3 linked regions of the Anolis sagrei genome follow. The protein of the gene in region 3 purifies or fractionates together with the protein of the main gene of each other region. This does not show direct contact. Links are inferred from orthologs where the notes say so. Each region holds a gene or a part of one and is shown on either strand. Other genes may lie near its edges.

The links.
Region 1: the proteins of TWF1 (region 3) and CAPZA2 purify together in Homo sapiens (affinity purification with mass spectrometry; 3 studies listed by BioGRID and IntAct, with this or other methods). This does not show direct contact. The link is inferred for Anolis sagrei from reciprocal best matches to the Homo sapiens genes TWF1 and CAPZA2.
Region 2: the proteins of TWF1 (region 3) and DBN1 purify together in Homo sapiens (affinity purification with mass spectrometry; 3 studies listed by BioGRID and IntAct, with this or other methods). This does not show direct contact. The link is inferred for Anolis sagrei from reciprocal best matches to the Homo sapiens genes TWF1 and DBN1.

Annotation. Positions count from the first base shown.
Region 1 is NC_090025.1:131,056,574-131,064,422, reverse strand, and holds the start of CAPZA2 (F-actin-capping protein subunit alpha-2), read left to right. Parts: upstream 1-4,820; 5' UTR 4,821-4,973; coding exon 4,974-5,012; intron 5,013-7,849. UniProt on the Homo sapiens protein: F-actin-capping proteins bind in a Ca(2+)-independent manner to the fast growing ends of actin filaments (barbed end) thereby blocking the exchange of subunits at these ends.
Region 2 is NC_090022.1:76,843,633-76,851,244, forward strand, and holds the start of DBN1 (drebrin), read right to left. Parts: upstream 3,098-7,612; 5' UTR 2,915-3,097; coding exon 2,829-2,914; intron 1-2,828. UniProt on the Homo sapiens protein: Actin cytoskeleton-organizing protein that plays a role in the formation of cell projections. Required for actin polymerization at immunological synapses (IS) and for the recruitment of the chemokine receptor CXCR4 to IS.
Region 3 is NC_090025.1:137,173,129-137,181,007, forward strand, and holds the start of TWF1 (twinfilin-1), read right to left. Parts: upstream 3,013-7,879; 5' UTR 2,954-3,012; coding exon 2,929-2,953; exon of another isoform or gene 2,924-2,928; intron 1-2,923. UniProt on the Homo sapiens protein: Actin-binding protein involved in motile and morphological processes. Inhibits actin polymerization, likely by sequestering G-actin. By capping the barbed ends of filaments, it also regulates motility.

The sequences.
Region 1 (7,849 bases), about 6.1 Mb from region 3:
TGTTGAACAGATGAACGAACCCCAGAAGAGTGGAATTATAGAAGCTCAAAGCATCAGAAGATTGAACCCAAACCAGCAGTAACCCCTAAACTTTATTGTATCTATATATTGTCGAAGGCTTTCATGGCCGGAATCACTCAGTTCTTGTGGGTTTTTTCGGGCTATATGGCCATGTTCTAGAGGCATTTCTCCTGACGTTTCGCCTGCATCTATGGCAGGCATCCTCAGAGGGTGAGGTCTGGAGCTGGGAAAAAGGGGGTTTATATATCTGTGGATCATCAACAGTTCATCAACAGATATATAAACCCCCTTTTTCCCAGCTCCAGACCTCACCCTCTGAGGATGCCTGCCATAGATGCAGGCGAAACGTCAGGAGAAATGCCTCTAGAACATGGCCATATAGCCCGAAAAAACCCACAAGAACTTTATTGTATCTAACCCTTCAATAAACTGTATCAACTTTATGATTTTGTGTAACTTCTATCTTTTAACTATACACTGTATATATTTTCTATATACACTGTATAAGAACTGTTTAAAAAATGTACAAAATGTAGCCTAGGGAAAGCCATCCTCCATGACCCTGCTAAAATAATCCCCTAAGAATAGAAAGGTGGGACAAATCCCCTTGGCTGTTTCCCATGCCAGATAAGAATCAGATTAATTGTTTATATGTAAAGGTAGACAATCTCCCATGCCAGCCAGATTAGCTCAGAAATGCTTGTGTGATTCCCCCAAAGACTTAAACATATGTGCATTCATTAACACTTTTATTTGACAACCTAACTTTTGATTACCCAGGATTGACCCCTGATTGTTGTACCTTTGCTTCCTGAGCCCTGTATCATTGTTTGGCACAGAATTGGACAGCTGAGCTAATTAAAAGTTCATCAACATATCCCTAGTATTTTCTTCCTGGGGGAGTCCCAAAAGCCCTTTTCCTGACCAATCCCCAGCCAATATTCGTGGCATAAATCCTGTCAGCCTCTTTTTTGGCCAATCAGAGGAGGGAGCAGGAGGTTTGAATGGCTGTCAGAACTGTATAAGATATCTTGCCTTTCTCCATACCGTTATGCTTGTACATTTTGAAGCAAATTATTTACACTTGTATCCTTTTTGGCCAAATCGCAGTCAATTTCAGTGGCTTGTCTTCATCCTGTTGAGTTGTTTCTCTGCCCTGGCCCTTCTGGTTTTAGCATATGCTTGTCGAGCGTGGATCTTAGGTAAATCACTGCAGAATGAGGGTACCAGGTCAATTATACAGTCATATGGTCAGTATGTTGGGAAATTATCAACCTCCTTGTTAAGAAAGACTTCTGCAAAGTCCTGATATTTTCTTAGCAATGTGACAGGGAGTTCAGCTGGTTCTGAGTCTTGAGCAGCAGTCACCTGCTCTGGTCTGCAATGCTCCTAATAAATAACAACAACAACAACAACAACAACAACAACAACAACAACAACACTTTATTTGTACCCCGCTACCATCTCCCCAAGGGACTCGGTGCGGCTTATATGAGGCCGAGCCCAAATACAACAATACATGCAATAATAACAACAGCAATTAAAATAAAACATGGACAATAAAATAACGCAACATTAACAATAAAACCACACGATTAAAACTGTGGGAAGGCCAAATGTAAAATTAAAATTGGAAGTAGTGCTGGAACATGGGAGAAAAAGTGATGGGGCGTTTGTGGAAAACATACAGATGGGGCGTTTGTGGAGAACATAAAAAATATCTGCCACCTGGAGCAAGAGATATGGGGTTCATGTCAGATGAACCTCTTTCTTTCATTCCTTCTTTCGCTCTTTGGTTTCATCCTTCCTTCTCTCTTTCCTTTCTTCCCTCCTCCTTTCTCTACTTCTTCCTTTGTCTCCTTTCTTCCCTCCCTGTTTCCATCCTTCTTTCACTTTTTCTTTCCTTTTCTCCTTCCTTCCTTCTTTCAATACCTCTTTTTTCCCCTTCCTTCCTTCTCTCCTTCCTTCCTTCCCTTTTCCCCTCCCTCCTTTCTTCTCTCCTTTCTTCCTGTCTGTTTTCCCCCAATACCATGGCAGAGTCCCTTCTAAGTCTATTCTATGAGTCTATTTAATATAGTAATATATAGTAGTAACATTATATTATATAGTGCTGTATATAACAATAATATATATAATGTAATATATATGATATAGCAATATATATAATAGTAATATATAAAGTATTACACACACACATCACACCAACATCCATCTGTGTGAGTGTCTACACTGCCATATAATCCAGTCCTAAGTAGATAATCTGGATTTTACATGGCAGTGTGGAAGGTTTGATTTTGGGTGCATCTACACTGTAGATTTAATAAAGGAGGATGAAGCTGGTGAGGGAAGGAGAAAAAGGAAGGAAAGAAAGGGAGGAAGGGAAGGAGACATGCAGGCAGCAGCAAACATTGCAGCCGCTGCTGCTTCGGAACCCTCATTCTGTGTCCTCAGTGTGAGGGGGGTAGGGGAGGTGTGTTGTCTTCTTCCTTTTTTGAATTTAAAGGTGTTTCGTGGGATTTTTCAGTGATGATCACTCCTTGGATCATGAGGAGTTTTGTTGCCAAATGTGGGGTCATTTGGCCCTGTAGTTTTTGTTTTGTTTTTAAGGAACTCATTATGCACAGAGCATTTATATATATATAGATATAATATAATAATGTGATATAGGAATTCAAGGATGGGTTCAGATCATGACTCAATCAAATGCACAAAGAAACATCCACGTTTTCAATTCCTTGTGGTATGCGGCTAGGGAGGGTGCCAGCCTAATCTCCCTGGGGAGGGAATTCCAGAGATTTGGGGCCACCACCGAGAATGCCCCCCCCTCTCGTCCCCACCAGCCGCGTCTGAGACAGGGGTGGGGCAAGAGAAGAGCATCCCCAGAAGATCTAATCTTGTGCTATGCTAATAATATTTTATATGCGCATATGCTATTGGTCATAATATTGTAATACAATATAATATTAAGTAATTATATATTACATGTATTACTAATAATATTGTAGTGTAGTGGTATCGTACAATATAGTAATATATAATACTAATATTGTGCAATGCTAATAATATAATATACTAGCTGTCCCCTGCCACACATTGCTGGGCCCAGTCTGTTGATCTGGAAAATAAGGTAATGAGAAAGTGTTGGTTTCTAATATATATAATTCCTTTATGCTTGTGGGTAAACAGTATTTCTTGCTGTTTCTTTGTCAGTGTTGATGTGGAGAGTGTCTGGTTTGCCTACTCTGGAACATGCAACATACAATTGTCCTTCTTTAGGGGTCCCTTTCAAATCTATGATACTATATCTGTGTGTGTGTGAATCCTATCTATCTCTATCTATGGCTGGATGGCTCTTTGTCAGGAGGGCTTTGATTACATTTCCTTGTCCTGGTGAAGGGAGTTGGACTAGATGGCTTTGAGTATTTTCTGTTGGTCATGGGGATTCTGTGTGGGAAGTTTGCCCCGATTCTGTCGTTGGTAGGGTTCAGAACGCTCTTTGATTGTAGGTGAACTATGAATCCCAGTAACTACAACTCCCAAATGTCAAGGTCTATTTTCCCCAAACTCCATCTGTGTTCATATTTGGGCATATGGAATATTCGTACCAAGTTTGGTCCAGAGCCATCATTGTTTGAGTCCATGGTAGTCTCTGGATGGAGGTGAATGATAACTACCAAACTCAAGGTCAATGCTCACCAAACCCTTCTAGAGTCTTCTGTTGGTCACAGGAGTCCTGTATGCCCCGGTTGGTTCAATTCTATCATGCTATTTGATTGTAGGTGAACTATAAATCTCAGCAGCTACAACTCTCTATCTATCTATCTATCTCTATGGCTGGATGGCAGGACTTTGATTACGTTTTCTTGCCCTGATGAAGGGAGTTGGATTGGATGGCCTTTAGTATTTTCTGTTGGTCATGGGGGTTCTGTGTGGGAAGTTTGCCCCGATTCTATCGTTTGTGGGGTTCAAAATGCTCTTTGATTGTAGGTAAACTATAAATCCCAGCAACTACAACTCCCAAATGACAAAATCAATTTTTTTTAAGTGAGGGACATACATTGGGTATGTTAGGTGTCTTGTGTCCAAATTTGGTGTCAATTCGTCCAGTGGTTTTTGAGTTCTGTTAATCCCACAAACGAAAATTACATTTTTATTTATATAGAAGTAATATTACTAATAATATTGCAGTATAGTGCTATCGTACAATACAGTAATATATATTACTAATATTGAGTAATGCTAATAATAGAATATATTGTATGTACAAATAAGCCACTCTGAGTCCCCTTAAGGGTTTTCTTTTTTTGTCGTGTCAGGAGTGACTGCAAGTCGCTTCTGTTGTGAGAGAATTGGCCGTCTGCGAGGACGCCCGGATGATTTGATGTTTTTATCATCCTTGTGGGAGGCTTCTCTCATGTCCTTCCTTAAGAGTGAAAAGAGTGGAATATGAATGTCGTAAATAAATAAATAAATAAACCCAGAATATATGGCAGTGTGGACTCAGAAAACCCAGTTCAAAGCAGATATTGTGGGATTTTCTGCCTTGATATTCTGGGTTATATGGCTGTGTGGAAGATTCTTCCACATAGCCATATAACCCAGAATATTAGTGAGTGCAGGAAGGAAGCCTTTCCCAAAAAAAGACTGGAACCTGCCTCGTATCCGCCCTTACTCCTGGAAAAGGCTTCACTCTGCATGTGTGCGCATGCTCGCGCTCCGGCTTTCTATTGGCTCCTCCGCCGGCTCCTGCGGCGCGCGCCCCCGCCCCTTTCCCTCCCTCGGTGGCATCCGGAGCCCCGCCCTTCCTGCTGCCGCTGCTGCCGCTGCTGCTGCTGCTGCTCGAGCGCGGGGCGGAGGCGGGCGGCTGGGCCTTGGCTGCTGTTGCGGCTCTTCCTCCTTCTCTTCCTCCTCCCGCCGCCTCTCCTTCTTCTCCTCGAGGGTCAGAAACGAAGATGGCGGACCTGGAGGACCAGCTCTCCGACGAGGAGAAGGTGAGGGGGGCCCAGAGGAAGGGAGAGAGAGGCGGGAGGCCGAGGGAAGCCCAAGAAGGCGAGGAGCCTGAGGGAGCTTCCTGGAGAGGGCAGGCATAGGGGCCAGAGGAGGAAGAGGAAGGGGGCCCTCCTGGCGCCCTCTTGCCGCCTAGGCCTCTCGCCGCTCCTTGTACGGTCCGAGCGCTGAAAATAGGCTGGGGCCGATCTGGTGTCTGGGGGACGAGCCAGCAGCCCGCTTCCTCCTCCTCCTCTTCCTCTTCTGTTCTCCTTTTCTGCTGCTGCCTCCATTGGCGCCTCCAGCCAGCCCCTGCTTTCCTCTGGCCTGAAGTAGGCGAGAGTGTCCTGGCGGGGCAGAGGCACTCTAGGTCGCCTTTGAACTGCCAGGGCTCAATGTAGGAAGATCCTGGGAGTTCTAGTTTCACAAGGCCTCGAGCCTTCTCTGCTCAAGAGCGCCTCACTCCAAATCCCAGAACCCCATAGCATTGAGCTTTGGTAGGGAAAGTGCAGTCACACTGCACTCAATCCACAGTGCATTATTATTATTATATTTATTTATACCCGGCTTTATCTTCCCAAAGGGGACTCAGGCCCCTTCCAGAAAGGCCCTATCTCTCAGGATCTGATCCCAGGTTTTCTGTTTTTTCCATATTATCTGGCAGTGGAGACTCGTATAATACAGTTTTAAGCAGAAAACCTGGTATGAGATCCTGGGATATAGGGCCTGTCAGGAAGGGCCCTCAATATATAGATCTGGCTTCTGCAAATTTTGGCCTTCCAGGTGTTTTGGACTTCAGCACCCCAATTTCTAACAGGAATTGCCTGGTGTAGATGCATCCTGGGATTCGTAGTTTGTTGAGGCACCTATTTTCTTCCCCTAAGTGATGTAGTCACACTGCAGAATCATTACAGTTTGAGACCGCTTCAATTTCCAGGGCTCAATCTGTAATATTCTAGGATTTATCCAATGCCAGGACACCACAGCTCTCACAGGGCTTGCGAATGCCAGAGCTTGATGACATTTTTTCTCCTGTCGGGAGCAACTTGAGAAACTGCAAGTCGCTTATGGTGTGAGAGAATTAGCCATCTGCCCAGATGTGTGATGATTTACCATCCTTTTCTCATGTCCCCGCATGGGGAGCTGGAGCTGACAGGGGAAGCTCAACTTGCTCTCCCCAGATAACATTGAGTCATATCAGTTTAAAGTGGTGTCAAACTAGTATATTTTTGTCATGTGACCAAATAATAATCATAATCCAATTTATTTATATCCTGGCCCCTCCTCCTGAAGGAACTTGGGGCGGCTCACAGTGGAAACATTTTTGGAAAATGGCATTCATAACCTTTTGGAAAGCGCCTTTTGGAGAATAGCATACAACCAAATATAATTATTCAGTTGTTAGACTGAATAACCTATTATATCTGCTCTTTTAGAAAAACAGAGATTTTACCAGCTCACAAAAACTGCAGAGTTTGAGAAGTGGGTTTCAGTGCCCAAAATATATACACTCTCCCATAAAACAGCTTGTTTTATATCATGCACTCAAGAGTGAAAAATGAAGTAGACTTTGATAAAAATAACATTTGGTTTGCTCACAACCTTCATGTGTTCAGTATGCACAGGTACAAAACTTATCAGTCCCGTTTCAAATATGTTTGAGATAATTCTTTGTGTCATCCCGCCAGAGCATCTCTCTTGTAACAAAATAGCTATCAATACCTCACATAGTCAAAAGGAGAGAGAAAAAGAGCATATGGTCTGCAGCCCCTTTTACAACTTTTCATTGAAACATAAAGGAAGCTGCATACCAGAACATACATTCAGGAAACAGTAAGCAACAGAATCATAGATAAACATTATTAGAGAAGGCTTGAAGAAGGTTGTCATTTCCAACAAAAAATACAGTATACATAATAATAATCGGCCAACCAAGACTGGTTCCCTCTAACCTGCAGTCCCCTCCAGTCTTCGGGTGTGTTTTGGGCAGGGCAGCCGTGCCACTTCAGCTCTGGTGAAAGAAAAGAGAGAGAAAAAGAATAGATAAGCATTGCCCTTATCTGAAATGCTTGGGACTAAAAGTATTTAAGATTTTTTATTTCCCCTCCTGATTTTGGAATATTTACACATAATGAGGATCGGAGATGGGACCCACCTCTAAATACCACATTTATGTATATTTTCTATACGTCTTGCACACAGCATGAAGGTAATTTTATGCACAATATTTTGGATACTTTCAGGCATGAAAGTATCCACTGCTTTGAGTTGCCTGAGGGCTGAGAAAAGCGGTATATAAATAAATAAATAAATAAATTCCATGTTAAGAAAGATGACTTAGATGCCCATGTTATAATAGATTTTGGAGCATTTAACATTTCTAAATAAGGTATCCTCTGCCTGTATAGATAGCATATCAACATTTAGTGAATATCATTTGATTGCCCCTCATGTCATCATCCATGGGGTCCAAAACAATTTTTACATGGTGATGATATTTTTTTGTCTCTTAAATCTTTCCCCTCTCTTTAAGTGATGATAAACACCTCATGGATGTGTAAAAGGTTAATGAATCCTTGACAAAGAGGTTTATTTCCGGTTAATTGTTACAGAAGATGAATACATGGTATAATATATGTTCATTTTGAAGCTACATTTCAAGCTTGATCCTCTGAGGATGCATCTAATCTGTAGAATTAATGAAATTTGACACCACTTTAAGTGCCATGGCTCAATGTTATTGAATAATGGGAAGTGTAGTTTGGTGAAACTATTTTGTAGAGAACTCTAAAGACCTTGTCAAGTTATTCCATAGCATTGAACAACTAGTTAACGTGTTGTC
Region 2 (7,612 bases), on a different chromosome or scaffold from region 3:
ATGTGCTCACCAGAGGACTCCTAGGAAAAGGAAAACCCTTTGGCCTTCATATGTGACGCCACAAGCCTTCAACAGCTCAGTGGAAGGAAGAACTACAGGAATGGCCCTTATACTGGAGCAAACCAGGGCTGTGTAGTTCTTTTGCATGGATTTTGGCTTATGGAGATGTGAGAGCTTCCTGCGACCTGAGTGAAAAGAGGAAACCACAACAGTGGTCCAGGGAGCAGCATTCTTGGCAGGCGGAGAGAAGCAGCACGAAGGGCAGGGTGTGGTAGGCTAAGATGAAGAGGCTCAGGAGGCTGAAGAAACTATTTGGAGAGAGAGGGAAGGGGATAGGAGGAGGGAACAAGGAGCAAGAGAGAAAGCACCCTGCCCATGTCAGTGAAGACTGAGGGAGTGAAGAGAAGTGATTCAAGGTAAACGAAACCCTTAATCACAATCATCTCTGCGTTTACATTCTGAGTCAGTACTCCGTCTCTCTCTTTTCAAAAAGGTTTTTTAAAAAACCTAACATTGTGGAATTGGTCTGAAAGAAAGCACTGATCATGGATGTTTTGAAGAATCATAATCAATGTGTTGTCAAAGGTTTTCATGATCAGAATCACCGGGTTGCTGTGAGTATTTTGAGCTGTATGGCCATGTTCCAGTAGCATTCTCTCCTGATGTTTCACCTGCATCTATGGCAGGCATCCTCAAAGGTTTGTTCAGAGACCTGGAACACAGCCATACAACCCAAAAACTCACAGCAACCCAATAAGAATCAAGTTCAGTGACGCATCCCAGAACCTGGTACAAGATGCAATGGTTGTCAGTCATAAATGTAACACATGAAGACAAAGTGTTTTCTATTATTCCTTACACATGGAAGACACTAAAGCTGAAAGACAGTGATTTAGATCTCTTTCACGCAACACAATTTGATACCAGTTCAGGTGCCAAGAGACAATCTGATGGCATCTTGAGATGTGTAGTTTCATTGGGCATTTAGAATCCTCTGGCAGGGAGCTCTAGTGCCTCTCCAAACTACAAATCCCAGGATTCCCTACAATCATGGCAGTCCAAGCACTGTCACGGTGCTGTCAAGTTAGAGAGGTACCCGTGTCACCACCGCTGTCTAGCAGAGGACATGGGTCTAGGAATAAGAGGGCAAAGAATCTCTGTTGCATAATGGACACCTGCTTGAAGAAAAGATACGTAGATTTTCTGGCCAAGGAGGTCCTGCTAGCAGCTCTGCATCGGATACTTCTTCTCACAAAAGGTTCGCGCACAGAACTGCTTAATGGGGAATGATGAAGATCTTTGCAGCGAAGGCACGTGTCGGAGCCATAGCTGCAAAGGCCATGTAATCATTTCCCAGGAAGTCTCCAAGCCTTGCCAGACAAAGGAAGAAAGCGAACAGGGGAAGATTCCCAGAACAGTCCTGGCTCAAGGGGTGCCAGACAAGAATGGGCAAGAGGCACAGGCAGGCCTCCTCAGGAGCACCAGCCCCCCTTCCCTGCCTGCCTGCCTCTGGAAATGGGGCACATGCCTATTGTTTTGGAGGCTTTGCAGGAGGCGCTCCCCCTTTCATCTCTCCTTCCTTCAAACGGAGGCTTCTCCAGGCAGACACAAGGCCCAGATGAGAAAGAACAGCTCAGCTTGGCACATCTGAAGGCGTTGCTGTGCGAAGCCCAGGCTCAGAGGAGGGCTGCCAAAGGGAACCGGGTCTTGGCCCCATCAGCTCACCCCCAAAGAGAAAGGGGAAAGACACGGAGAGGATGCGGCACTGAAGGGCCTTGCCCCTCTCTCTGACCGGGGGGGGGGCTGCCTGTGCCCCCTCCTCGGCTCCTCTCGCAGACGGCAGACCCCTCCCTCCCTCCTTCTTGCTTCCTTCCTTCCTTCCTTCCTTCCTTCCTTCCTTCCTTCCTTCCTTCCTTCCTTCCTCGCTCCTCGAAGCCCTCCTCCTCCTCCTCCTCCTCCTCCTCCTCCAGCCCCTCCCCTCCAGCCTCCAGACCCCCGCCTCCTTCCTCAACCGGCCCCACCTTCCTTTGTGTGGCGCGTCTCCATCAGATAACTTTCATCTCCCCCCCAAAAAATATAGGGAGAATTGGGGAAAGAGGGGGTTCACGGCAGAGATGGGTCTTTGTCTCGAGTCTGCATACAAAGACACCGGGGCCAAGCAGGCGATGGGGAGCGAGGAGCAGGTGGAAGGCACGGAGGGGACCCGCCCCCACTGCCACCGCCGCCGCCGCCGCCGCATCCCGGCCCAAGGAGGCAGAGAGGGAGGGAGGAGGCGCAGGGGAGGCAGGGAGGGGGGTTGGGGAGGGGGTCACGAGTGGGAGCGCGCGCCCGTGCTCGCGCCTGGGTCCGGGGAAGGGGGCGGATGACGGGCTGCCCCAAAGGCAAAAGAGGGGTTCGGGTGACGCTGTCCATTCCGCGCGCCTCTCTGCGGCTTCTCAGGAGCCCCCTCCCCTTCCAAGCCTACCCGCCCACCCACCCGAGGCCCCGACCCAGTTGTCTGGCCAATGCACCATTTTGGGCTCTGATCATGGCTCCCCCCTCCTTCCCTCCCTCCCCGGTTTGGGGCATCGCGCTCGTGGGAGGCGCAGGGTGCCCCCTCCCTGTGCATTGGAGGGTGGGGGCTTGCCTGGGAAGAAGGGCTGCGGTTCCCAGGCAAGGCAGGCGCCGCCCACGCCCCCCGGCACAAAGCGGCGCGGACACCGCCCCCTCCCCTCCGCCCCGGGGACAAAGGGATGGGGGCACCCACTTCCCCCCCCCTCCCCGTCCTTACTTTCCCCCAATGCTCACACCGACCCCGGGGGGGGGGGAGGAAGGGGGCCCCGCCTTACCAGTCGGTGGGGCTGTCCTCCCCGATCACCTCCTGGTACGAGGCCAGCAGCTCCAGGCGGTTGGCGCTGAAGCTGATGCCCGCCATGCCGCCGGCCAGGCTGAAGGGGGGTGGATGATGCTGCGGCTGCTTGAGCTGCTCGGCAAGGCAAGGCAAGGCAAGGCAAGGCAAGGCGCTCGGGCGGAGAAAGGCCGCCTCTGCCGCTCGCCTCCGAGGCAATGCAGCAGCAGCAGCAGCAGCAAGAACGGCGGGCAGGCAAGCGGGCGCGCGCGCGAGCGAGTGAGCGAGCGAGGAGGCGAGAGGAGGCTCCGCCTGCCAGCGCGTCGGGTCCTAGCGCCGACCCAACAATACTCCCCCTCCCACCCTAATTCTTTCCCCCTCTCACCGCCTCCTCCTCCTCCTCTGTCCACATGTGGGGGCCTATGGGGACCATCAGCCATCTTGCCTCGCATCACTTCAGCCACTTGGCGGAGCAGAACTGTCAGCGTCTTCTGTAGAGGCCACAACATTGTGTCTCCTGGTTGAAATGTTCAGAGCAACCAAGACGCCCAGGCGAATGCCAGCACCGAGAATCATACACTTAGAAGAGGCCCCAACGGCCATCCAGTCCAACCCCATTCTGCCTGGCAGGGACACACCATCCAAGCACCCACCCCCCCGCCCCTCCCTCCCGCATCCCATCTCAAAGCTCTCAGGGGGACCTCGGCATCCTTCCTGATAAGGAACAGTTACTTCACATCATCAATCCCAATAGGTCAGTGGTTTCCAACCTATTTTTGACCAGGGACCACTTTGACCATGGACCACTCTCCAAGATTAGTACCAAACGGGTTACGAATCAGTTTTTGGTCAACTTTAGATTGTTTGGTTGTTTGGAGTGCCAATTCAGAAAACTGCATTGGATAGACCACACCAGCTCTAGTTTCTGATACAGAACAGATGCCATCCAGTAGTCACCATCTGCTTGCCCACAGAAAACCATATTTAATAATCTAGAGCTGATGTGGTAGCAGTAATCTTTCATGTGTAGTCGGCCTCTCCCCTCCCAACATCCTCATCGCTCTCATTGCTACATGGTTTTGAGGCAGCAGTGTAGTAATGGTGAGGCCATGGACCATATTTTTGCTCTTGTGGACCACTGGTGGTCCACAGACCATAGGCTGGGAACCACTGAAATAGCTGCAAGAAGGTCTATCACTTTCCACACATAGAAGTTGCAGAACCTATTCAGAATTTGTCTTGTATCTTCTGACACTGCTGGTTTAGTTTTAAGTTTAGTGTGTGATGTGTCAAGCTACCTACTAGCCATCCCTGTTGTGCCAATGGCACACTTGATAGTTGCAACAGAGCAATTAGGGCCTAGCTTTGAATGATCAAAACTATGTAGTACATACAGAAGTACACTGTAATCTTGTTAATCATTGCTCTCCCTGCTCTTAGACCCATCAGCCTGGCTGGCATCACTGTATAACCTAAAATCCTGTTTGGAATAAGGCCATTATGACTTGTTCCAGCCTTCCTCAATGTCCAGTTAGGAACAAGGGAGGATTTCAGACTCCTACACATGGTGCACTGGTTTGAGCACGGTGACTCTGGTGACCAGAGTTTGATTCTTTGCTCAGCCATAGAAACCCACTGTGTGGCCTTGGTTGAGTGACACACATTCAGCCCCAGAAAACCCTGGGATAAGGTTGCCGTAAGTCAGAAACAACATGAAGGCACAGAACAGCAACAGACCTTACTTCCCAGAGTCTCTTTCACAGAAGACCTTGAAGTTAGGCACAGGCTCGCCCCCATACTGTGTGGGCAGCAGCTGGATTCTCAAGGCACCTTGTGAAGTAGGTGCCAACATCTGCCAAGTGGGAGAGTGTTTACATGGTTCTCCCTTAGCACTGCATTTCTTTTCTCGGACACCTGGCTCTTCAAAGATTGACTATTAGATACATGCCAAACACAATGGGCAGAGATCTAAAAATGGCATATAACTTCAAAAGTATTCAAGATTTCAAATAATAATTTGAGACTATTACTTTAATTTCAATGACAAGTCCTCCATACAGCAAAGCTTGTGGCTGAGCTCCTCTGGATTGCAGTCCGCCAGGTAACATTTGCCAGCTCTGCAACCCTAGTATTTTATTTTTAGTACTGATGCACCCTACTGTAATTTATGAATGGAGTCTGGCTGGGATTCCCATCTGCTTATAGATTATCAACTAATTATTTCCCTTTTGATTATGTCCCTCAAGAATTGATCTACTATGTGGATGTTATGATACTTTGGCTGCTTGGGGAAATTAAAAAAACCCCACCCACTTCCATAACTTAAACAGGTACATGGCATCCTTGCAATGGGCCTCGGCGGAGGGGGCAGAACTCTCCCAAGATGGAGCATCAAGTGCTCAAAAAGATTCTGTGATGAAGCAACCTCCACTTTAACATTATGTCCCATGCTCAGCAAATCAAAGGCAGCATAAACTAGTTCACAATAGCAAGAAGCTGCAAACACCAAGGAAGTATCACTCACCAAATACAGGATCAGAAATTACCACTAAAGCAGAAGTTAGACTGCCACAGAAATAAGCCACTGAGAGTTCAGTAAAACATAGGCAACCACACAGGACTTATATTAAGAGCAAGGTCTGAAAAGAAGGAAGCACAGGAAAGACTTCCCTAAGTTGCACAGCAAGGATTCATTTAAAAAAATACATATAGGAAGAGGAAACAGTGCCTGAATTCAGAATTGGGTGGGGATGTGGGGAGGGAAATTTTCGACAAGAAAATAGCATGTCTGAATTTGTGCCACTTTCCATCACTATGAAATTTGATGCAAATGTATACCAGCACATGTGCTTTTGTTTCTAACATACGGCAACTCTAAGGCAAACTTATTCACTGGGTTTGTTTGGGGTTTTTTTTAAGCAAAATTCGTTCAGAGGTTTTGCCTTTGCCTTCCTCTGAGGCTAAGAGAATGCAATCTGCCAAAGGCCATCCAGTGGCTCATCTGGGTTTCAAACATTGGTCTAGAGAGTCATAATCGACCCACTAAACCACTCTCTGTATGCTGCCTTAGTAGGTGCAATTTTTTTAGAACTTTGACCAATGCAATGCACTGCCAATGCACTAATACCTTCCTCCATTAAATCTTGATGTAGCCCTCCTCTTCTGTACCTTATGAATGATCATTGCACTAAAGCTCTTTACTTATTTATGCTGAACATATTCCAGGAGACAGCTGGCTTTTCATTAAATGTGGCCAAGAGCAAGATAAGTGAACTCCTGGCCACTTGTAACAAAAAGATGTTCTGGATGTTTGCTGTCCAGCGAGGCCATTCCACTTTGATGTCCTGCACCATTACCTCCCAGCATGTGCTCAACTGAAACACCAGTATTGTCCTCTTTTTCAACTGTGCCAATAACAAAGACAAGAATACCGAGGCATGGAGACATGGATGTGGCATTTCCATGAGAACACCGATTTGATTTTCCCATCTAAGCATGACACAAGGGTTCTGATTGGGAAGAAGGTAACAGAACCAGCTTTGCTTCAAAGTTCCCCGCATCATGGCCTCACCTGTAGTTTGAACTTGATTTATCCAAATCTAGTCTCCCCATACAACACCCTGTGTAATCTCAGCAATGATCATATGGCACAAAGGTGATAAAGAATTAAAAGATTTATTTTATTAGGCACTGAAGGAAGTCACCATTGTGGCGACAAAGAATTACAGTCTCCCAGCCGGACAGGACGGTTCTGGGAAGCACACTTTGATCAAAACAGAAATAATGACTCTTTGGTAAGGATGCTTTGGGTTCAGTTCTGGCCCAGAAGTTGTGAGCTACTGGAAAATAAACACTGTGAGCCGAGGAGTGAATTGCATCTCCATGTAATTGTGAGGAAGAAACAATTTTGGCCAATGAAGCTGGTACTTATTATCTGTGGCATTTTAGCATCATTTTACTTGGCCTGTCACAACATATGGCTCAATATTTTATCCTAGCAACAGCTACTTTCCCCCTGGAATCAGGGTTATCTTAATTTGAAAACATTATATTACCAAATCGGAAGTTTTGAGAGAAACCCATGTTTCAGCTTGGGAAAAACCATTTTGTTACTGTAATATGTCTGGAGTGGACTCCTGATGCTAAGTGTGGCAATATGAGCAAAAGGCAAAATAGACTGGCACAACATTGATCCATTCTTGATCACAGGCATATTTTGCAATGCTTTTTTTGGCAGGAAAAAGTGGATAAGTGCATTGCAAAAGAAATAGGGAGAAAAGAGAACAAGACATAATCCGACAGACTTTGGAGAGAGAAAAAAAAAACCATTGTCACCAAGGACCTCACAGCAAGCATTCACACACACTGAGGAGAATGAAAACTAGGGAAGGCCAGGTATCTTCACAACAATGATAATAGCTGAGGTTGTTCAGCTAGGGAGTATCATCCCCTTCTTTGGTTGTAGCTGGCACAAGAATGATAGTGGTAAGGCAAGTCCATTTCACCAAAAAAATGGCTTCCCAGCAGGAGAAGAGATCCTAACCCGTCAGTGAGCGCTCATGCAGAAAGGAACTCTATGTTTTAAAAAGGAAAGAAAAAAGAAAGAAAGGTGGGCAATGGTCTAAATCCATGGAATGGAATCTTTCTAAAGTACTGAAAGGGAACCATAAGTATTGCATCCCCAGTGGGAATGATTGTCAAGTGAGGGGTCTGGGCCCACTATGCTCTCTGTCTGTCTGACTCTCTCTCAATCTCTCTCTTTCAGGACAGGATGAGGTGGAGGAA
Region 3 (7,879 bases):
TTTATATGGTTTTCTTATGCAAGGAATATTCAGAGATGGCTTGGATAGTTTCCTTGTTCAGAAATATAACCTACAGCACCTGGTATTTATTACTGGTCTCCCATCCAAGGACTAACCAAGGCTGGACCTGCTTAGTTTCCAAGATCAGATAGGATCTGGTACCTTTTAGGGTATTTAGGCTCTTTTTATAAAGACCAAAGGTAGATAAATGTTAAAGAACTACCAATAAAGCCTTCTGAACAAAGAGCGACTTATGTCAGGCCAGCATGCACAGAATAGCATGAGTCTTCTGTAATGTTGTATAACTTACAGCACCTGTAGTGGTATTCATTTGCAGTCTCCCATTCAAAAACTAACCAGAGTTGGACCTGCTTAGCTTCCTAGAAGGTGCCTTGAGTGTATTTAGGCCCTTACTTCTCACAAAGATGTAAATCCCATAATGGGCTATCCTTCCCATCCAAACAAAGGAGGAAGAGGAGGTTCCAGTGGCTCAGTCCCCATATAGGGTAAGGAATGCAACAAAAGTAAGGCTTGGGAGGCATCTGTACTGTAGAATGAATGCAGTTTGACACCACAGCTGTGACTCACAGGTGAATCATGGCAGGTGAAGGTTGCATCTTCACTATAGAATTAACGCAGTTTGACCCCACTTGAAGTACCAAGGCTCAGTGCTAAGGAAGCAGTGGAATTGTAGTTTTACAAGACCTTTAACCTTCTCTGTCAAAGAGTGCTGGTGCCTTCTAGGATTTCATTGCATTCAACCATGGTAGTTAAAGTGGTATCATATTGCACTGATTCTAAAGTGCAGATGCAGCTATAGTTTGGTGAGGCACCAGCACTCTTTGGCAGATAAAGCTCAAAGACATAATGAAGCTACGACTCCAATGATTTCACAGTATTGCACAATACTGATCCGTAGCAGTCAAAGTGGGGTTGAGCTGCACTCATTCCACAGTGTCGATCGGGCATGGACAAATTTTGGCCCTCCAGGTGTTTTGGCTGATAGGAATTGTGGGAGCTGAAGTTCAAAACACCCGGAGGGCCGAAGTTTGCCCATGCCTAGTGTACATGCACTCTATTTGTGTACTGTATTTGTTTGTTCTTGTGTGCCATCAAGTCATTCTGACTTATGACCTTTGAAAAAAGGCCAGATTTGGGTGCAAATTCCTACCAGCTGTTAGAAATTGTGGGAGCTGAAGTCCAAAACACCTGGAGGACTGAAGTTTGCCCATGCGTAGTGTAGATACACTCTCTTTGTCTGTACTGTATTTGTTTGTTGTTGTGTATCACCAAGTCATTTCTGACTTATGGCCTTTGAAGGAAAGCCGGGTTTGGGTGCAAATTCCTACCAGCTGTTATGAATTGTGGGAGCTGAAGTCCAAAACACTTGGAGGGCCAAAGTTTGCCCATGCAAACTCTGGGTGTGTACTTTTTTTTTGCTGTTGTGTACCATCAAGTCACTTCTAACGTACGGCCTTTGAAGGAAAGCCGTGTTTGGGTGCAAATTCCACTGCCAGGACTCTGGACCTCAATCAATCCTCAGATCAGCAGGAAGAGACAGTGTTTTGCATAAGCTGTGAATATGGGAGTTGTGTGTGCATTTGTGTCGCACATCAACATGCATGTCATGGTCAATTAATTCTCAACAGTGGCTTAGCCAGCTCTTTCCTCTGAAATACAGCTCACAGCCCCTGCTTTTTCTTGGCGGCTCCCCATCCACATTCTAACCAGAGTTGACACCACTTAGCTTCCAAAACCAGACATGATCCAGTGCCTTCAGAATTCTCAATAACTTTTCCTTAAGAGAGAAAATGTGTGTGTGTGTGTGGGGGGGAGCACTATCTACACCAGGCATGGGCAAACTTGGGCCCTCCAGGGGTTTGGACTACAACTCTCAAAATTCCTAACAGCCTCAGGCCCCTTCCTTCTCCTTCTCAGCTGCTTAAGTCTATACCTTTTTAATATATGTATATATTTGTAAACTTTGAGACAGTTTTGTAAATATTTTGCCATGAATGCTTTGTAAATAAAGGTGCATTTAGGTACAACTTCCCTATGTATGGTGACTTTTTAAGGATGCACTAAAAAGCTGCTGAGGAAAAGGCCTGAGGCTTTTAGGAATGTTGGAAGTTGTAGTTCAAACACCTGGAGGGGCCAAGTTTGCCCATGCCTGGTCTACACTGTAGCATGGATGTATAGTGTATCCTTTAAAAAGTCACCATACACAGGGAAATTGTATCTAAATACACCTTTATTCACAAAGCATTCATGACAAAATATTTACCAAACAGTCTCAAAGTTTAAAAATACATGAATATATTAAAAAGGTATAGACTAAAACATAATAGGACTTAATGTTTCCTATATATATATAGGAACCTTTTGGGACATCATGCTGGGAGGTGCAGTTTTCAAAGAGTCCAAGCACTCTAAACTTCACTTCCCAGGCTTCTATAGCTTTGAGCCTGGAAAGTGTCAAACCGCATTCATTCCCCCATCTGGATGCACCCATAGAGGGCCCCCCACGTTATCTCTCCAGGCTTTAAAAAGTTGTGGCTAACTCTAAGAGCGCCCTATAGTTACTAAACTGCGGAAAGCACTCTGTACATGCTCAGAAGCACCCTCTCAAGGGTTCTATGCGGAGGAAATACAATCGAAAAGAATTAAATATGAGAGAGGGGGCGAGTTTTAGAAGTTCGGTCTAACTAAGCGTTTGTTTTCCCACTCCTCCTACTCCCCCCCCCCCCCCCGCGCCAGACAATGGTTTGGTCCATGTCGGGCCGGCTTCGGAAAGAAAGGGAGAGAGAATGAAAGGGAGGCGGGGGGATCCAATGGGGAAGCGGCCCGGGGGGAGGGAGGGCAGAGAGAAGGAAGAGCCTGGAGCAAATTGCGGAGGGAGGGGGACCCGGAGACCCACCCGAGAGGTACCTTGGATGCCGGTTTGGTGAGACATGACGCTGAAGGGCCGCCGACTCTGGGACTCGCAACTTCGGGGGGAGGAGGGACAAGGTAAGGAACGGCAGAAGGGCGGGGGGGGGGGGTACTCAGAACGGCCCGGGACCATCACGTGACTTGCGGCTGCCAATCATCGCCTCGATTCGCTTGCCTTTTGCTTCTTCCGGCCCGGGCGGCTCTGAGCCGGGATTATACATCCGCACAGGAGAATGAATGGAGCCTGACACCACTTTGGGCCCTTCCACACAGCCCTATATCCCAGAATATCAAGGCTAAATCTAAACTGCCATAAAATCCAGATCCTCAAAACAGATAATCCACATTATCTGTTTTGAAGTGGATTATATGTGTCTAAACCGTCACATAATCCAGTTCAAAGCAGATAATCTGGATTTTATATGGCAGCATAGACTCATATAATCCAGTTCAAAGCAGATAATGCGGATTATCTGTTTTGTTAATCTGAATTATATGGCATCGTAGACTCATATAATCCACTTCAAAACAGATAATGCGGATTGTCTGTTTTGATAATCTGGATTATATGGCATCGTAGACTCATATAATCCACTTCAAAGCAGATAATGTGGATTATCTGTTTTGCTAATCTGAATTATGTGGCATCGTAGACTCATATAATCCACTGCAGATTGTCTGTTTTGATAATCTGGATTATATGGCAGTGTAGAAGGGGTCAAAGGCTGGATCTAAACTGCCATAAAATCCAGATCCTCAAAACAGATAATCTGGATTTTTATATGTCAGTGTAGAAGGGGCCTTAGACACTTTTGGGTGGTTTTTGTTTTGGTTTCTTGAATATCCCTATTGCAGAACAATGGCAGTTTGACACTGCCATGGCTCAATGCTACAGGATGCTGGGATTTGTAGTTTGGTGAGTTATTTATTTGGCCTAGATGACCTTGCAGAAACTACAACTCCCGTCACTCCATCGCAGTGAGCCAGTGCAGTTGACAAAAGCCCCTTCCACACAGCTAAATAAAATCCCACATTTTCTGTTTTCAAGTGGAATATATGGCAGTGTGGACTCAGATAACCCAGGGCCTTCCACACAGCCCTATTTCCCAGAATATCAAGGCAGAAAATCACACAATATCTGCTTTGAACTAGATTATCTGAGTCCACACTTAGATAATGTGGGATTATCTGTTTTGAACTAGATTATATGAGTCTACACTGCCATATAATACATTTCAAAGCAGATAATCTGGGGGCCCTTCCACACAGCCCTATATTGGAGAATATCAAGACAGGAAATCCCACAATATCTGCTTTGAAGTGGATTATGAGTCCACACTCTGATAATGTGGGATTTTTCTGGGATATAGGGCTGTGTGCAAGGGCCCTGGATTTTATATGGCAGTGTAGAAGGGGCCTCATTGAACCTAATGCATCTTATTTTACCCTGAAGACATTATAGGATTACGGTTCCTTGATTTCAATGGGAGTAATTTCTAAATATGACTGGTTTTTTTATAAGCTGGACCAAGTTTTCTGTTCACTTCAAAATAAATCCCACCAAGGAGCCTTCCACGCAGCCCTATATCCCAAAATATCTGCTCTGAATTGGGGTTAGCATAGTCCACAGTGCCATATATTCCAGCGCAAAGCATATAATTTGGGATTTTATTCAGCTGTGTGGAAGTGTTTAAAAAACACCTATACTGGTGTTTTTAAAATGTACTGTTTGGGTTTGTTGAGTCTTCTCCGCTAGTGATAAAAATAAAAGTGTCAGCAACTTTTTAAAGTAGAGGAGTCCCATAAAAGCAACATCACTTTTTATATGTGAGGTGCGAAGATTTTAATTAAATGTATTTTTAAATAAAAAAATATAGAAGGAATCACTTTATCTTGTGCCAAAGAAGCTCATTTCCCGTTTAATCCATAGTGATTAGCAAAATTATGGTCTTGCCAAGGCAGGTCGTAATTTGTTAAAGCTGGTTATGAGCCACATGCGATTGTGAGAATTATGTTGCTCCTCCACAAATTGCATAATGCTTGCAAGATGTGTCTTTGATTGGATATGTGTATCAATCAGCCTACAGTGGTGTTTTAAAAATGTGATATACAATAGTATCCTTGAGAGATACACAGTAATTACTGGTATCAAAGGATGGTTGGGATGTTGCATTGGAGTGCTCAAACAATTCACAGTGGAAACAAATAGGGTTTGAATCAGTCATAGAATCATAGAATAGAATCATAGAATCAAAGATTTGGAAGAGACCTCATGGGCCATCCAGTCCAACCCCCTGCCAAGAAGCAGGAATATTACAATAAGATAAGACTCTCGGGTCCAGTCTACACTGCCATATATAAAATACAGATTTTCTGCTTTGATCTGGAGTATATGGTAGTGTATACTCATATATTCCAGTTCAAAGCAGATGCGGATTATCTACTCTGATAATCTGGATTATATAGCAGTGCAGAAGGGGCCTGTTAACCAGTACCCATGGGGATTGGTAGACAAGTGTCATTTCTGGTTGCTTGAGAGTTACTATTAAAACAGGCTTACCTAATGCTATACCTCATACTAACTATACCATACACTCTGCATTAACTTGATATTAATAATAAAATACAGTAAAAACCTTTTTAGATATTGTTTTTATTTATTTTCAGTATATAGATAGGAAACTTGATGTTCGTGGGTAGAAGCAACTGCACCTTGTGTTCTCATCAATTGTTCAACTAGAGTCCTTTTTTAAAATCCAGTTGCTACCTCATGCAGAATTCTGGGCTTTGTAGTTTAGGAAAGAGCCTTTAACAGCCTCACTGAATCTCGGGCTTGCTGCTATGTAAGGTGGCCCGAGTTCCTTTGGGGAGATGGAGGCGGGGTACAAAAATAAAGTTGTTGTTGTGGCCATTAAAGTGGTGTCAAACTACATTAATTCTGCAATGCAGATGCACTCAGAGCAGAGGTTGGCTTAGTTTCCTGCAGGAAGGAACTCCAAGACCTTGAAACAGCCACCCAGAAAGCCCTCTATATAGCATCAGAGCAACCACAGAGGAAGCCCTTTAAATCCTTACCAAATGCTTATGTGAGAGTGGCAACATTGAAAAAATTGTTCCTCAAAACAAACAGACAAACAAAAAATAACAACAAAACAAACCCATTCTCATCACTATGTGGGAAGAATTCTTCATATAGCCTGGATCCAAGTAATTAATAAATTAAATTCTGTTTAAGTTTTTTTAAAAAAAACACAACAACATTGAATTATGACATAGGTAACAGAAGCTTTTAATTCATACCATGTCTTCTGATTTTTTCTACTACAAGAGAGGCAACTGTACAACTAATACGGAAATTTTAATGGGAAGTTTTCCTTCATTCTGAGAACAAAGGACGTACTATGTATGAGAACAGACAGTCTACATTGTCAGCAGTTTTTCTTGCTGCTTGAATAGAGATCTTAGTTTTGTCAGAACTGGTTGTCAAAGGGTGTGAAATAGTTACATTGGTGGTCCTAATTCCTCAGTTACTTCACTTGGTTTCAGGTCTGCCACAGTACTTCCAGAGTAACAAACAGCACTGAAGATCTCCATAAAACACTAAAGAACTATGGAAAGCAATGCAGAGCATTATAGATTTCTACAGAAGACTGAAGTGTTCCAGAAACGTACAGCCAACCGGAAAAAGTGAGGAAACTTACCAAAACAGAATACTACTCATCTGAGGCTGAGAGATTGTGACTGAACGGGAATTCAAAGCTGGTTCTCAGAGTTTTATTTAGCCTAATATTCAGACCATTACACCATTATGCTATGAAAACTTGGCTCTTCAGGCAGACCTTTGGAAATGGGTAAGACATCTGCCAATCAAAGGACTAAACAATCTAATATTTTCACTGGTTGAATTGGCTGCGACTGGGATGCTGTATTATTCATTTTTATGGCAATTTGTACTGTTTCTTTTTAAATTGGATTTTTTTGTAATAGGTTGTTTTTACTGATGTCATTGTTTAATATGCGTTGTAATTTTATCTTTATTTTTATGCATTATGGCACTTGTATGTGCTTCTGTAATCTGCCCTGAGTACTTCTGGGAGATTGTGGTGGGGTATTATAAAGTTTTTGTTGTTATTGTTGTTGTTATTATTTCTGTTGTGGTTTAGAAGGAGATATACATATATGATAACCAAGAGCCAATGTGCTGTTGTTGTATGAGCATTAGTCTGCAACTCTGGAGACTCAAGTTTGAATCTCTACTCAGCCGCTGGGTAACGTTGGGCATGTCACATTCTCAAACCTCCTCTGAAAAAATCATGCCAAGAAAATGATCTTGTAAGTTGGCCTTAACGCCAGGAAATGACTAGAAGGCACCCAATAACAACTACATAGCAGCACACATGATTCAACCCAAAGTCTGTATAGGCATATCTTTACTGGTGAATGCAGGAGGGGAAAAAAGATGCCAAGCAGATGTCATGGGAGACGTACTACCAAATCAAGGGTGCCACATCTGTTAGCCACTTCTTTGATGTCCAAAGGTGCCAAGAAGATGGTTTCTGGGAGTTGTAATGCAAAAGGTCATCTCTTCCTTCTTTTTGAGCAGTACACCTAATCATAAAAAAACAAACAAACAACTAGAGCATCTCTTCCTTTAATGTCTGGCATTCATTCTTCTTGGACTGAGGATCAGTTTATTAGCTTCTATCTAATTCATTACTGACTCGGAGCACCTGTCAAGGTCATCCCACTCTGTGACTGGATTAGATGAAAAGGAAAAAGAGAGCTGTGTGTCAACAGCATACTGATAGCTTTGCATAATAAAACTTTGAACAAACGTCTCCTGGTAGTTTTATATATTGTACATGTTAAACAGCACAGAGGGATGATGAGAATATTGTTGAACCTTAGGACATAAATTACATGGGCCTTCAGAGAAACTTTTGAAAAC